Canis lupus familiaris: one gene and its partner. The protein of the gene in region 2 interacts with the protein of the main gene of each other region in a biochemical or structural test. Links are inferred from orthologs where the notes say so. Each region holds a gene or a part of one and is shown on either strand. Other genes may lie near its edges.

Region 1 (8,266 bases), on a different chromosome or scaffold from region 2:
TTTTTTAATCACCAAATATATATATTTCTCAGCATTTGCCAATGCTGAGTGATGCTACATGCACTGTTGAGTATAAATGCTAGAGTGCTCAAATAGATAAATGTGGATCCCTCTGCCCCTTCCCTTCCTTCCCCTCCCCCCTCCCTTCTGTTTACTGAGCTTCTAAGAGGTTGCTTTGCTAGCAGTTGTGCTCACATAGCAACATGTGCCCAGAGCATACTCAGGCTGGTCTATATGGCGTCAGCTGGGGAATAACTGCCCTGAACACTCATTAGCAGACCTCTCTGTCAGCCCAGCACACTTTCTTTTACTATCCTCATTTGCTATCCTTAGTTAGAAACTTTCTTATTCACTGCACACCATGACCATATTATGAGGCACATTTATTCTCATCTATTCGTCATAATGATATTTTTCTAGTTTTTTTATACTCCAAATTGGGAATATTTCCTATATGGTAAAAATGACTTCTTTTCACTCATTTATACGTGTTATCTCCTTGACCTTGAATTTTATCTATAGCACTCTCTCTCTTTAACATCTACCTAAGATTGAAATGGCTGAACTATTTTTTTCCATTGCTTATGCTTAATTTTGGCTCAGCCTATAAATAGTCTTAACATGAACAGCACCACATGTAGCCTCTCAATTTCCCAGAAATACTTTCTACCTCATTGGTGAGAGCCTGGGTAAAATGATTATTTGTATCTATTAAATTGACATCAGCCCCTTAAATATTTTGGCTGAGAGGGGAATTTACACATTGTTCCTCAAATCAAATATGGATTCTCCTGAACTGCACCCATCAAGGAGTCAGATCACTTCGTGTTCTCATCATTCTTCATCAGATGTCTCTGAAAAAATTATTTTGAATATATGCCTAAAATAAAGTTGCACGAAAGCCCTATTCCTAATGGAAGTTTTTTTTCCAGATGCTCACCAATCGGTGTTTTTTAGTGAGAGAAAAGCAGGCAAGGAAGTTTTCTGCTTGCCTAAAGCCACTTGGGCATGTGGGCAGGTCAGTAAGGAGGGCCTTCTTCATAATGAAATGTTGAGACAATCACCCGAGCGAACTGTGGCAGGTTCCAGATTTTTGCTATGTAATCAGCTCCCCAAAACTCTAAAATACACATACAGTGTGTGCACACATATACACACATAAATCTGTTTTGGAGCATATCTATTTGAAGTGACAAAAGCTTCCATTTTGCCAGAAAAATCTTTTTTTCCCCCTTTCCAGCAGAATGGTAAAATTTGTAAATGATGCTGCGCATGTGGAACAAATTCTGTCATTAACAGTGGAAATAAGACAATAATAGTCGTTCAATACAGGCTACTTTCAAAGTTCCAAATGCAGAAAGCTATTGGTAGGAAGCTGGTATTGTGTGTTTTGTGGAATTCGAACTAATGTCCTAGGGTCAAGATTTTTGGAGGGTCGTAATTCAGTCTTTAGATTTCATATGGTTGTTATGCTTTAATCTGGAAAGAGTGCAGAAATAAGTCAGAAGAAATTTGAAACTGTCTACTCATGGTCCCTAATGGTAACTCAGATGGAAGGATTGTTTTGAATCATGAAAAGGGAATTTCTTGGTGTCAGCTTATAATATACGATTCTGAAGTCATCCAGACCTCAAGGATTCAAGCACTATTTAAATGAGGCCTCCTCTTCTCCCCCCTTTTTTGGAAAGTACACCTGCATCTGATGTTGCATTGTTATCTCTCTCTGGTCTTGCGTAGAAATCCTTGGCAATATCATATGAGCCCAGTAATCTGAAGTCACTGTTGAAAAAATTCTTTCCATGTCCAGGATCTAGAACCCTGAGGAATAGGAGTCTTATTTCTTTTGTCCAAGTACAAACTTCATAGGGAAGCAGACAAAACATTGAAGCAGGTGGAAGACTAGGAAGGCACAGTAACTTCTTTTTATAAAGTAATTCAAAGGCACTTTCAAATCGGGCATCATTTACGTGTCAAAAGCTGCCAAAATGTAACACACATTGCAATTTTCACAGATGACTAATCTCAGGAAAAATGTGTTGGGGCACATTCTTGCATAATAACTTGGATAAGGAGAGAGAAGTGAAAAGACTGTAACAAGGCATTTTCAAAGACAATGCACCTTGCCTCTCTTGAAGGGGGGGGGTGCGCAAAAACAAGATAAATGACTCGCTTTATTTGTTGGCAGGTGGCTCGGCTGAAATTGGTTCTGTTAACTACTTAATCTCTATGCGGTTGTGGGGGGGGGTGGAGAAAGAAAAAGTGGCGTCCTCATAATCAGGGCTCCAGTGACTTTCTGCTCCTTCCCATCTGTTTCCCATTGCCCCCCTCCCCCCTCCTTTCCTACAGGAGATCGATTGGGTTGTTTGACAAGTGGAGAGTCACTTCTGGGTTTTCAGTTCTATGCCGGGGTTCATTTTGTTAATTTCTATTTGATAGAGGAGACACTTTGGACTTTATCTTAGACACTTTTGTTAGTCAAGGAAAAAAAATAGTTTCTTGGGAGTGAAGATGGGAAGTTCAAGGCGATAGATCGTTTTTATCTGGGTTAGGATGAGGCTAGAGGAGAAGACTGAAAACGATTATTGGTTCACGTTAGGTAAAGGTGAGTGCCTTCTCCATGGGAACCTAGAGCAAACAGCAGCACTGGAAGTGAAAGTGAGCCGACTGACAGTCGTGATCTACTCCTACCAAGTTGTCTCTGTTTGGGAAAACACGGAATTGGACCCACATGAAATGAGTTCCTGCCTTATCTCAATTCGCTGAAGACCTGGTCCTTTGGCACAAAGGTGCTTACTTCCTAGCCTGTCATTACACATGGCAGTCCCATCTCCGGAGAATTTCAGGACTCATTGCTAGGCAACAGACTCGCTCTTTATCCCCCAGAGCAAACCCACGCCTTCAAGTCAGAATCACTTGCAGTAACAGAGATGTTATCGGGCATTTCTGCAAAGTGGCTGCTAGCGCCGTGCGAAGTGATGGAGCAAGCCCAAACAGTCTCCAGAAATTGGGACCGATTTCAGATCACTCTAAGGGCTGTCTGCTCAGTTGTTGGTTTTTTATTTTTTTTAAATGATTAAAAAAAAATGTTTAATCATTTAAACAAAATAGTCTGTGCCTTCTGATTTCCACCGTGTCCTCGAGGGCTCCGCTCTATTCTCCCCCGATGCACCTGCAGCTCAGTTAATATTAATATTCTGCGTTTATACGAACGGTCGGTCCTCTGGACATGTCTGAGTTCCCAAAGCCTCGTGACAAACCTTGGCCTTGCTCAGCCAGTCTCCCTTCTGCTTGACAACCTGGGGCCCTAGCAAGCAGAGTAGGCACGAGAGAGGATAAGAGGGGTTTCTCTGGAAAATAGAATCGCCTAGATTGCTGGAAAAAAAAAAAAAGAAAAAAGAAAACAGGGGGAAAAGAACCTGACATTTTGATTGAAAGACTGTCCCAAACTCTTCCACGTTCGATGACTTGATGCTTTTAAGTACAATAAAAGATACAGTTCAGGGGACAAAGCAGCTAAGAACACCTTCTAACTCAGCGCAGGGTGTACGTCCGCTAGGAAATGTCCCCCGAGAGAGCAGAACCCCTTGCCGATGCCTTCTTTTCGGATGAATAACGTCTTGTCTCGTTGTTTCCAGGTCACGTCCTCCCCTGGATGTCAGCTGAGTTACTGAGGTGGCTCTGCATGTCCGGAGACAGACGTTGGTAGAAGCCCCGGCTCCTGGAGGCCCGCCGTCTCTCCTTCTTCTTTGGCGTGTGTGTCCTCACCGAGCATTCAAAACTGTTTCTCCAAAGGGTCTTGCAAAAACTCAGACTGTTTTCCAAAGCCGAAGCACTGGCGTCCACAGCAGGAGCGATGGGCAGTGTGCGGACCAACCGCTACAGCATCGTCTCTTCCGAAGAGGACGGGATGAAGTTGGCCACCATGGCGGTTGCCAACGGCTTTGGGAACGGGAAGAGTAAGGTCCACACCCGACAGCAGTGCAGGAGCCGCTTCGTGAAGAAGGACGGCCACTGCAACGTCCAGTTCATCAACGTGGGGGAGAAGGGACAGCGGTACCTCGCAGACATCTTTACCACATGCGTGGACATTCGCTGGCGGTGGATGCTGGTCATCTTCTGCCTGGCGTTCGTGCTCTCCTGGCTGTTCTTTGGCTGTGTGTTTTGGTTGATAGCTCTGCTCCATGGCGATCTGGATGCATCTAAAGAGAGCAAGGCTTGCGTGTCCGAGGTCAACAGCTTCACGGCGGCCTTCCTCTTCTCCATCGAGACCCAGACGACCATAGGCTACGGCTTCCGCTGTGTCACAGACGAATGCCCAGTTGCCGTGTTCATGGTGGTCTTCCAGTCCATCGTGGGCTGCATCATCGATGCCTTCATCATCGGCGCGGTCATGGCGAAGATGGCCAAGCCAAAGAAGAGGAACGAGACTCTGGTCTTCAGTCACAACGCTGTGATCGCCATGAGAGATGGCAAGCTGTGTTTGATGTGGCGGGTGGGCAACCTTCGGAAGAGCCACTTGGTGGAGGCCCACGTGAGGGCCCAGCTGCTCAAATCCCGAATCACTTCCGAGGGGGAGTACATCCCCCTGGATCAAATAGATATCAACGTTGGGTTCGACAGCGGGATTGACCGGATATTTCTGGTGTCCCCCATCACCATAGTCCACGAGATAGATGAAGACAGTCCTTTATATGACTTGAGCAAACAGGACATCGACAATGCAGACTTTGAAATCGTTGTCATACTGGAGGGCATGGTGGAGGCCACGGCCATGACCACCCAGTGCCGTAGCTCCTATCTGGCGAATGAGATCCTCTGGGGCCACCGCTACGAGCCTGTCCTCTTCGAGGAGAAGCACTACTACAAAGTGGACTACTCAAGGTTCCACAAGACCTACGAAGTGCCCAACACGCCCCTCTGTAGTGCCAGAGACTTAGCCGAAAAGAAATACATCCTCTCAAATGCTAACTCCTTTTGCTACGAAAACGAAGTTGCCCTCACAAGCAAAGAGGAAGATGACAGTGAAAATGGAGTTCCAGAAAGCACGAGTACGGACACGCCCCCTGACCTAGACCTTCACAACCAGGCAAGCGTACCTCTAGAGCCCAGGCCCTTAAGGCGAGAGTCGGAGATCTGACTGCTTCCTCCTCTGGAATATTGACTTTCAACTAACAGTCTGTTGGTCAAAGGCCCCAAGCAGTTATTCAGACGACGGTACTGGTGAAGAGGTGGGTCAAGGCACGTGGCCACAAGGGACCGAGGCGAGTACGGTGGCGTCGAAGAAAGGACTGTAAGCTCGGAGATTTAACCTTAGAGCACTCAACACGCCTCCTCTCCCCCCTCCCCCACCCCATGACCCGATGGCACATACATGTGATAGAATAAGTTATGGGGTTTTTCTGTTTCGTTTTGTGTGTTTTACAAAACTTGAACTCGCAGGCCAGCCTCGGTTGGGTATTTGACGAATCCAGAATGCTTCTCCTTAGGGAACAAGAATGTTTTTAATGGCATAACAAAGGCAAGACTCTGCCTTAATTTTTTTTGAAAAGCTGCTAACTACATGAACACAAATTGTATTTTTGTTGCCGTGTAGTTCTTCTTTCGTGTAATTTAAAAGTCAGTGTTGAACTTTGTTGAAAGCTCATGATATGTGCTTCAAAGTGGCAAGTATTTGGCTATTAAGCTGCCAAAACGAGAGCCTGATTTTTTGAGGCCAGTAATTTGTTTGCTAGAATTGATTTTTTTTTTCTCTCTCTCTCTCTCTCTCTTTCTCTCTCTCTCTTTGGTTACATAAGGGCATTATGTAACACTAGCCAAATGGTAGCCTCTGGGTTTTCTTTTTTTTTTTTTTCTTCCATGATGTTAATGGGTTATCTCAAATTTTAAGTTAGACTACCTAAAATAAATACCAAAGATAATGCACATTTTTGCACAGTGGAGCTTATACTAAAAAGGATAGAAAGCCCCACGGCTGCCTTGAAATCAAGAAACAGTAACTTTGAACCTCAGCAAGACCTTGAACTGCCCTCTCCTTTTTTCACCTTATTCAGAAAATAGAATATCCTCCGCAGAGTATAGTAAGTGTCGTGCTTTTTCAGTTTTGCTCTTTCATGCAACTAGTGTATGATGAGAGGAAGAAGAAAGGGGAAGGAAAATTCACACACACACAATCAAAATATCCTTTCTTTCCTGTGAGGTTGGGCTGGCCAGGCCGACGCATAAGGTGAGAGATGGTGACGGGCTCTTAGATTTTTCTGGCTCTCCCCTTTGGGCGCCTTCCAGGATTTATTCCATAAGATAAGACCTAGGTTGGAGTTAGTTGGCATCCCCAAAAGCTGAGCCATCCAACGTGAAAGATAGAGAAGTTTAAACCCTTGCAGCTGAATTCATTGGCCCAACTGTCAGGACATTTCCAGGCCGACTTCGCCTTTGAGAAGATGCCACGCCTGGCCTCTAGGCTGGTTCTTCCGATCAGTGTGTCTGGAGTGAGTCCTATAGTGTCTGGGAGGCTGCAGATGCCCAAGGGGGAGCTGGTGAGGTGTGGACCGTGTGGACCGGCCACTTTGATACAGCACGTCAGCTCAAGTATTCGGGAGGGAGAGGAAAGTTATTTATTTATTTTTAATGGTAGAGGGTAGGAATGAAAATGTCGCAGTATTCTGGGGTCAACCAGAGCCATACAAGATATAACAGCCACAAGTAGAAGAGATAATGATCTAAAAGGATTATTTCTCCTTTATGTATGCACATTTGGGATTGGATCTGAGCTGATCCTTCTCGCCTATAGAGCCCTAGAGCAGGTTACTAAGGACACATTGTTTTCCAGAAGTCTCTCCTGCCTGGCTGCCTGACTTGACTGAAACTTTTTTTTTTTTTTTTTTTACCCTGCTCTAACTCAATAATGGAGCTCTTTTTTGGTTTAAAGTTCCTTATGTGTGAATTCTGGGGGTTGCTGACTTTTCTTTTTTAATTGGAGTCTCAAAATCAACTCTCTTATGGTATTATAACCCTGTATGCCATTAAAAAACAGCTTGTTCTGGAATCCTGTATTTCGTAAATTGATGTGTGTGATGGTCTCTGGTTCTTGAACAGCCATCTCTGAATGCCGTGCCTGCAATAATATTACAGTTTCTGCTGTTCTCAGCCTTCAGAGTCGATGGGTTTGAAAACTGGTGTTCTTCTCATGGAAACCAAGACAGAGATGTCAAGCAAGCGGATGCTATTTTAAATCCAAATTTAAAGGCAGGTTTGGGAAGTTGTTTTGAGAGTTGGAGGAATTGGGATTGATAGGACAAAAGAATTGACAGAAGAGAGAACAAGTTGGCTGTTGAGGGTGAGAGGTTACTGAGGGCTTCAGCTGCTGCTATTTCGATATTTTGCAAAGGAAAATAATCAAACCAAAGAGTATTCAGTGATATGTAAATTAAATGAAGATGCAGTGGAGCATGGGGTGACCACTGAGAGGGCTCCTCCCAAACACACAGTGCTGCCACTTAAAAAGACTTGAGATATTTGAAAGGGGGTGGGTCTGGGGGCAAGAATGAGGGAGGGAAATCTTTCAACTTATTTCTGAAAAACAGAAAAAAAATCTAAAATTTCTGGTGCACAGGTTTGTTTTTGTTTCTGTTTTTTTTTTTCCAAGAAAATTTTGCAGAAGCTATGTTTTTAAAGTGTACATTTTATAAAGTTTATCAGATATTTTCATATTTAAAGCCAAATGTAAATAGAAGTCTGTAAAGGAAAAAAAAATTGCCATAGAAAGTATAATTTCAGTGCAGCAATTTCAGAGAGCTAGTACCTCTATGCTACCGGTTAGCATGGTTTTAGCAAATATTTACCAGCCTTATAAGGTTCGTATTGCTATGTTCTGTTATTTATTTCAGCATGGACTGTTCATTTGAAAGCTCTTTCTAGTTAGTATTTTAACAATTACAAGCTTTAAATGGCAATTTTTTTTTTTTTTTTTTTTTTTTTTTGTCAAGAGCCAAGACACAGGTAATGCACAACATTTTTTGTTGCATTTTACCTTCAAAACATTTGTCCTTATTGACTGAGTCTCCTTAATTAGTGCACATACGTCGTTAAAATGAAGTCCGAGGAGACTCGCCGTGAATATCTGGGGTCTGTCCCCAGCTATGTGTTGCTTCTCTATTGCAAGCAAACCCCCGTTGAATTTACTTAAGAATTACTCCCTTTTAAAGAATTTTTGCTCGTATCTGGATGGGCATTATATTTTTGGGAGGAGGCATAGATTCCTGGTTATCCT
Region 2 (7,482 bases):
ATTAAAATAGAGTTTTAAAATACATCATAGTAGAGGGAATGTTTAAGCTATTTAATATTTAACAGTTACCAGTTTAGATTTATCTGCTTATTCAAGTTGCCTAAAAGCCAGAGTATAGAACATTTTTGCAAAAACAAACATTTTTTAATACCATTGATTAGAACAATTGTCTTTAAAGATTTTTGGTAGCAGTAGAAACTTTTCTTCAAAGAAAATATTGTTCAGAAACCCAGTACGTGAAACAAGTAACAAGTAGCACCTCTTTGGCAAAATTGATTTTGTTAACAAGAAAACTCACCAGTTGGCTTCTCAGGTTGAACTTTCGGAATTAAAAAATGCCGTTTGCTCTCCAGGTATCTTGGTTAAACATGTCAAGGATGATGACTTTTAATAGATACAATTTGGTCATTTTAAAGTCAGCTGATGGAAAGGTTAGTAAAAGAAAAGTAGCACCCTCTACCCCATTTTTAAAAGGCTGAGATAATGTTAGTTTTACCTACTCAGAAATAATTGTACCAGGAAGATCACCTCAGTACTTTTCTCCTAGGAGACATTTGCCTTACCAAACATGAGTGAGATACATTCTAAAAGAAAGAGACCTAATAGTGACCTTGCAGAGGGGTGACTGATCCAAGTATGATCCACATACTTTACTTCAAAAGAACTTAGTACTTACTCAGAAGTAATGCCTTTGAATTCTACATAGAGAAAAAAAAAGAGCTTTCCTTATATTTCTTAATTTAGAATTTTCATATCCCCTATATATACACCTTTATAAATGTGTTCCCATGTTATTTACAGTTCCTAGGTCCTAAAATGACTGGAATCTATCAAGAAAGGTAATTCATATTCAGGCTTAATTTTTTTTTTCCTTTATCTCTAGGGAAATTCAGGGCTTGGTTTCAGTATTGCAGGAGGTACGGACAACCCACACATTGGAGATGACTCAAGTATTTTCATTACCAAAATTATTGCAGGGGGAGCAGCTGCCCAAGATGGAAGATTACGGTATGTTTTGCATTTAATGTTGTGATGGTGAATATACCTTGTATATTTTTCCTTAGGCAGATGGAACCAAGGCATCAATACAAATAAGCACTATCATAATAACCAACATAAGGTAGATACTCTAACAAATGAGACAATTGTACACTAAACATTGTTTCCCTCTTCATTTAGGAATTTGATATTATAACATGTTGAATCATAAATTTGATTATTTTAAATGTTTGTAAGCAAATGTATAGAAATCATAGAATGCCTTTTGTATTTTTAAATATATTCACAAAATGTTTTCCATTTATTTTCTGGGTAAGAAACATGTATACAAACTTAGGATATACAAGCGATGATATATATATATCTGAGTTTGTATCCCATACCACAAAAAGTAAAGATTATGCAAAGTTTAAATAAATTGATACATTTTCTTAATTGAATGAATGAAAGTAATACTGGTCTCTTGTTTAAATGTAGTGTTCCATTGTAGATATCTTCTACAATCATGTTTCCTTAGACCATAGATTATGGCACTTTTCCTGTTCCCTTTTTTGTTGGGGGGTGTGTGTGTGTGTGTGTGTGTGTGTGTGTGTAGTAGTAGTAGTAGTAACAGTCTAAAGTAGTAACAGTCTAAAGTTTTAGGACTAAGGATTTCTATATGGTCTGTTAAAAATAACGTCTGGTTTTAAGGTTGTTGATACCTTCTGCAGCTCTTCAGTTTCTAAACTTCTCATTGGATAGAAAAGGTGATATGTTATTAATGAAATCATTTGGATATAAAATTAATAATTTGACCATTCATGTAAATGCAGACAATTCCCAATTGTGTTTTTATTTGTGCTTATGTGAAAATTAAGCACAAATAATTGTTTCACTAAAGAACATACCTTTAATACTTACTCTAACATATAACTGTCTTCACATAAGTTTCTTTCCTCTTAAGAAAGCTAATTACAAAGAAGCTCATCAGGATCAATTTTAATATTTTAATTGGGTTTTGTTCTCCTTCCCTGCCCAGTTTCATATGATTTTTCCCCTTAATGAAATGCTATGCAATTTAAACTGAGACCAGAGCTAGGGGAGAAGTTAGGACTAGGAACAAATCAAACTTTAAAAAAAATATATTACTGTGTCAAATTTAAATAAATTATTTACATGAAGAACCTTTTAATTAAGTAATGTAATCATTAGCTTCATATAAATTTCAAGATATAACTTTTATTTTTTTTATGTATCATATTGAAAAAGCAGTCAAATTATTTTTGGATAAATCAATGAGTTATCTCCACTTTGCCACCACTGTGTCTGTGACCTTAAACTTATTGCTCAATCTGAACCTCAGTTTTCTTTTCTGTGAGTCACAGCTCTATCAGTCATTATCTGGGTGACCTTAGGAAAATTCTAAACTCTTTGTGCCTTACTTTCTCCAGGTTGTCGTAAGGGTTAAAACACTAAAAAAATAAAAAATAAAAAAAATAATAAAACACAAAGAAGTGCTTGGCATGTGGTTAGTGCTAAATAAATATTTGCTATTTTTGTAATTATCTTAATGCTTACACATAATTAGCATACAAGAACCATACAAATTACAGCTATCATTATTATTTAATATTATTGTGTGGTAATCTGTTATCTGCACTGTTTATTTGGTTGGCCCTCAGGAAATATTTGTATTTATTATTTATATGACTATTTGATACGGTGGAATTTAACCTGAAGTTTCTTTGTATATATTTTTTTTGTATATATTTTCTATAGTAAATAATTCTCTACTTTAAAAATGAAAATGACAAAAAATTGTCAATGTGTAAGTTTTATATTTTAATATTTAATTTTTATTTTTAATATTTTGGGTTTCTTCTCAGGGTCAATGACTGTATATTGCGAGTAAATGAAGTAGATGTTCGTGATGTGACACATAGCAAAGCAGTTGAAGCATTGAAAGAAGCAGGGTCTATCGTACGCTTGTATGTAAAAAGACGGAAACCAGTATCAGAAAAAATAATGGAAATAAAGCTTATTAAAGGCCCTAAAGGTATGGAATAGTGAAACCAAGACAGATTATCAAGTAAGAAATTACTGAGATAAATGTAACTATCAAGTTACTAGTGACACACATTCTAAGATTAACAGTACTAGTAATCTACAGAACTTGTGTGGATTTTTAGAATTTCTCTTTAATTTCTGCTGATTTTTGTCTTAGGTAGAATTCTATTTAGCACTTGGAACTTATGTATACTGTTGCTATTAACTTGTAATCATCAATCTACAAAATGTATTAAATGCAGATACACGGGCTAAGTTAAAAGAAAGAAGTAATTATGAGTATGTCATTAGCCTCATCTGTAATGGGGACAGTTAATACTTGATTTCTGAGTTTTGAAAACATTGATGGAATTGAGGATAATTACTTATTCTAATTTGTAACTTTATGGAAGAAGTAGTATTCCAACAAATGAAAAAAAGAATAGAAAGCTACAAATTTGTCTAGTATTGAAGCTATGGAATTTATGAATTACAGAAATTCTTTAAAAAATTCAGAGGGGCGCTTGAGTGGTAGTCTGTTAAGTCTCCAACTCTTAGTTTCAGCTCAGGCCCTGACTTCAGGGTCATGTGATCATGCATGTCAAACTCTAGGCTTAAAGCTCTAGGCTCAAAAAAAGTTCTAGGCTCCACACAGAGGCTGCTTAAGACCCTCTCATACTCTCCCTTTCCTCCCCCACCCCCCATCCCTCTGACTCATGTGTACTTTCTCTCTTTCTAAAATAAATAAGTGAATCTTTAAAAAAATAAAAGTAATTCATAGAATATTGGAAAAGGAACAAAATTATCCACATTGTGAAGCCTATTAGTTCTGCCTACTACCAAAAAATTTTATTATTTTTCTCAATTGTTTTACTCTTATGAAGGTATTAAAAGTGTTAGAAACACAATCATGATGGGAACAAAATTGAAACATAATTTTGTAATGCCTCTTTGAACTAACAAACGCATTTACAAACAGACCTTAAGAAGTAACCTGGGCAGAGAGGACAGAACTTATTTCTAACTGTAGGAACATCTATATAAAAAATTGTTCAATGACTACAAAGTAAACACGTAAGACTTAAAAAATAGGCAAATAGGTGTGCTTGGGTGACTCAGTCACTTGAGCATCCAACCCTTGATCTCAGCTCAGGTCTCGATCTCAGGGTTTTAAGTTCAAGTCCCCCCTCTGGGCCCCATGCTGGGGGTGGAGGCTACTTTAAAAAAAAAAAGTAGACAAATAGATTCGTCTGTATTTAAAAAAAAAAACCAAAAAACATGAGTGTGATAAGACTGTCACCTTCTAGTTTTCAACCATTTCTGGACTTAAAAATACTTTAAATGATGAAATTTCAAAACTAGTATTTTCCAAACAGGTCTTGGGTTCAGCATTGCTGGAGGTGTTGGAAATCAACATATTCCTGGGGATAATAGCATCTATGTAACCAAGATAATTGAAGGAGGTGCAGCACATAAAGATGGTAAACTTCAGATTGGAGATAAACTTTTAGCAGTGAGTATAAGAAAGCTGTTATTTTAAAAATCATTTTCATGTCTCCTCTTTTTTTTTTTTTTTTTTGGAAAAACTGAAATTTTTCTTGCCAAAAATGTTTAAACAATATTTAAATGAATGAACACTAATTTTTAATCAAAACCTGAAAAATGGTTCTTGGTATTATTTGCCCCTTTGTTCCCCCTCTACTAGCTTCTCTCTCTTTTCTTTCTTTTTTTTTTTTTTTCCTTCCTTTTCCTACTCTTTTTTGTTGAAGGGCTAGGGAGTTGGATGCACAGAATTGTTTAAACACAGTATCACCCTTTGTGTGTGACTTTCTTTTTCTTGTTACTTAATTATAGTATAATGAAGACTGCTAAAATCAAAACTAGAATATCAACAACTTGTTTTTTATTCATTTGCTTTTAAAAATTGTTTAATCACATACCTATGCCTAAATATCTTGTTTAATATTAATTTGTTCTGAAAATGTTCTTAAAGGCTGTTGTGAAAAAAAAACAAAAAAAAAAAAAAAGGCTGTTGTGCTGAATGTAGTCTTTTAAATTTTATTTTTTACTCAGAATTGGTTTACTGAGATTTATCCAGATTGTTGCCTAGAGCTAAAAATTTATTCATTTCACCTCTACATAATATAGCTCCAGATCTATACTGCAGTTTATTTATCCAGTCTTCATCAATAATGATCCTAGTCTATGTTCCCTAGAAAAACATCTGAAGAAAAGGTACCGTGCTAAGGTTTCATTGGGAGATGTAATCTCAGAAGCTAGAGTGAATGAAAATGAAAAGTGAGGGAGAGAATAGGGGAAAGTCAATACAAGGTATTATGTTTCTGAGCTGGCTATAATTTCATAAGAAAATGTCACTAATTGACATATAGGACAGCCTTCCAGTCAGGTGATGTGACACTATTAAACTTTAGATCCAGCCATCCAGGGAAAAGAAAATATTTGTCTCCCTATCTCTTGTTAGATAGAGTCTATTCCATGAATGGTAACTGTCCCTAATTTCTGCACTGTTACTCAGCTACTCTGGGCAAATGCTAGGGAAGCCAGCTCCCATACTCCATGGTATAGCATTTCCTCTGAACTGAGAAGTGATGGAAAGAACCAGAGCTTCAGTGATCTAGACAGACCAGAACACAGGCTTTTGACGTGTTACAGCTCTCATTTCTGTGTAACACATTAGTCATGCCAAGTGCAGCCCTTACCCTAGAAAAGATTAAAAGATCTGGTAATGGTAGGAGACAAGGTGAGAGAAGTGGTAGCCAGGACTCTCCAGTAAGCACACAGCCAAAGCCTAGTAGGCATGTAGGCTCAAGAAAATCTGAAAAGGCACATAAACTAGATCTGATACAGTAGTAAGTTGGGTTATTGCTTTTTTTTTTTTAAAGGATTTATTTATTTATTTATTCGTGATAGAGAGGCAGAGACACAGGCAGAGAAGAAGCAGGCCCCATGCTGGATGCCCGATGCGGGACTCAATCCCGGGACTCCAGGATCACGCCCTGAGCCAAAGGCAGGCGCTAAACCGCTGAGCCACCCCGGGATCCCCATCTTTTTTGTTTTTTGTTTTTTTTTTTTTTTTGGTAGTATGAATAATTCTAGGGAGAGCTGCTTTGTGTCTGGTGAACATGTACATACAAGAGTTTCACTTAACTATTTATCCTAAAGCAGTGGTCATTGAATATCCTCTTAGTAACATTATAGCAAAAACATCTTGTTTTCCAAACCAGTTATAAAAATGTACACTCCTGTGAGCAATATATAAATGATTCCTTTGTTGTACATGCAGTCCATTACTGCTTATTGCTGAAGCAAGGAGATTGTTTTCAGGTTGATAATGGGGAAGAGGAAAGAGCTGACTTTGGACTGCTTTTCTTTTAACCCTAACTCTAGCCCCTAATCCTAACACACACACCCATTGAAAATAGCTGCCTTTTTTCACTGAGTTTTTCATTTGTACTGTTTAATTTCTTAGATACTATGTTTTCTTTTATGGTTTTTCCAGAATCCATTTTAGTGGTTGGAAAGCCAGCAATGTGTCCTGATTGACATTTAGTTAGGCTTTGGTTGTCATAATTCCACTGAAATTACTGAATTCTTAATTCTCAGCCTAATTGCCATCAGGCATTCAGCACAACTTCCATCTTCTTCAGACCACTTCCATTTTCTATAACGGTTACCCTCTTTCTTGATATTCCTCTTATGTCACTAGTCATTCCTTCTCATCCTCCCTTTTGGTACATCTTCTCTCTAACCTCTAAACATTGAAGTGAGAAAGGACTTGGTCCTTGTACGTTTTTTCTTTTTGATAGGTGGTCAAATAACTTACAGTATCATTGCAAATGATAGGCGTAAGTATTATTTTCTGAACTTTTGTTTTTACATACATACACAATACATTTTGTGCTTGGCTAAACTATAAAAATTTTTAACCATGGTTCTTAGCAGAACAGTTGAAAAGCCCTAAGAGATTTCACCTAGTCTCCTTTCATAAATCTCAAGAATCATGTCAAATTTATTATATCTAAAAAGGAACTTTTGGGGTGCCTGGGTTGAGCATCTGCCTTTGTCTCAGGCCGTGATCCCAGGGTGTTGGCATCAAGTCCTGTATCAGGCTCCCCACTGGGAGCTTGCTTCTTCCTCTGCCTGTGTCTCTGCCTCTCTTGCATGAATAAATAAATGAATAAAAACTTTAAAAAATAAAATAAAAATAAATTTCTGAGTTTCATCCTAAGCCTCACCCACCATCCTCAAATCCTGTTCGTTGCACAGTCTTCACATCTGTTTACCCAGGTCTAAAACTTCAGGCTCATTGTCCTTTTATGCTCCATATTGAATCCCTTGACAAATCTTGTCAGCTCTTTATCTGTTATCTAATGCTACTTAAGAAAATACAGAAATTAAAAAAAAAAAAAAAAAAAGAAAATACAGAAATTAGTGGCT

Evidence for each region. The genes of interacting proteins can lie anywhere in the genome.
Region 1: the proteins of DLG1 (region 2) and KCNJ2 form a complex in vitro, tested with the Homo sapiens proteins (2 studies listed by BioGRID and IntAct, with this or other methods). The link is inferred for Canis lupus familiaris from reciprocal best matches to the Homo sapiens genes DLG1 and KCNJ2.

What each region holds. Positions count from the first base shown.
Region 1 is NC_049230.1:10,423,677-10,431,942, reverse strand, and holds the end of KCNJ2 (inward rectifier potassium channel 2), read left to right. Parts: intron 1-3,635; 5' UTR 3,636-3,853; coding exon 3,854-5,137; downstream 5,138-8,266.
Region 2 is NC_049254.1:30,809,451-30,816,932, reverse strand, and holds part of DLG1 (disks large homolog 1), read left to right. Parts: intron 1-883; coding exon 884-1,008; intron 1,009-2,864; coding exon 2,865-3,034; intron 3,035-4,400; coding exon 4,401-4,537; intron 4,538-7,482. UniProt on the Homo sapiens protein: Essential multidomain scaffolding protein required for normal development. Recruits channels, receptors and signaling molecules to discrete plasma membrane domains in polarized cells.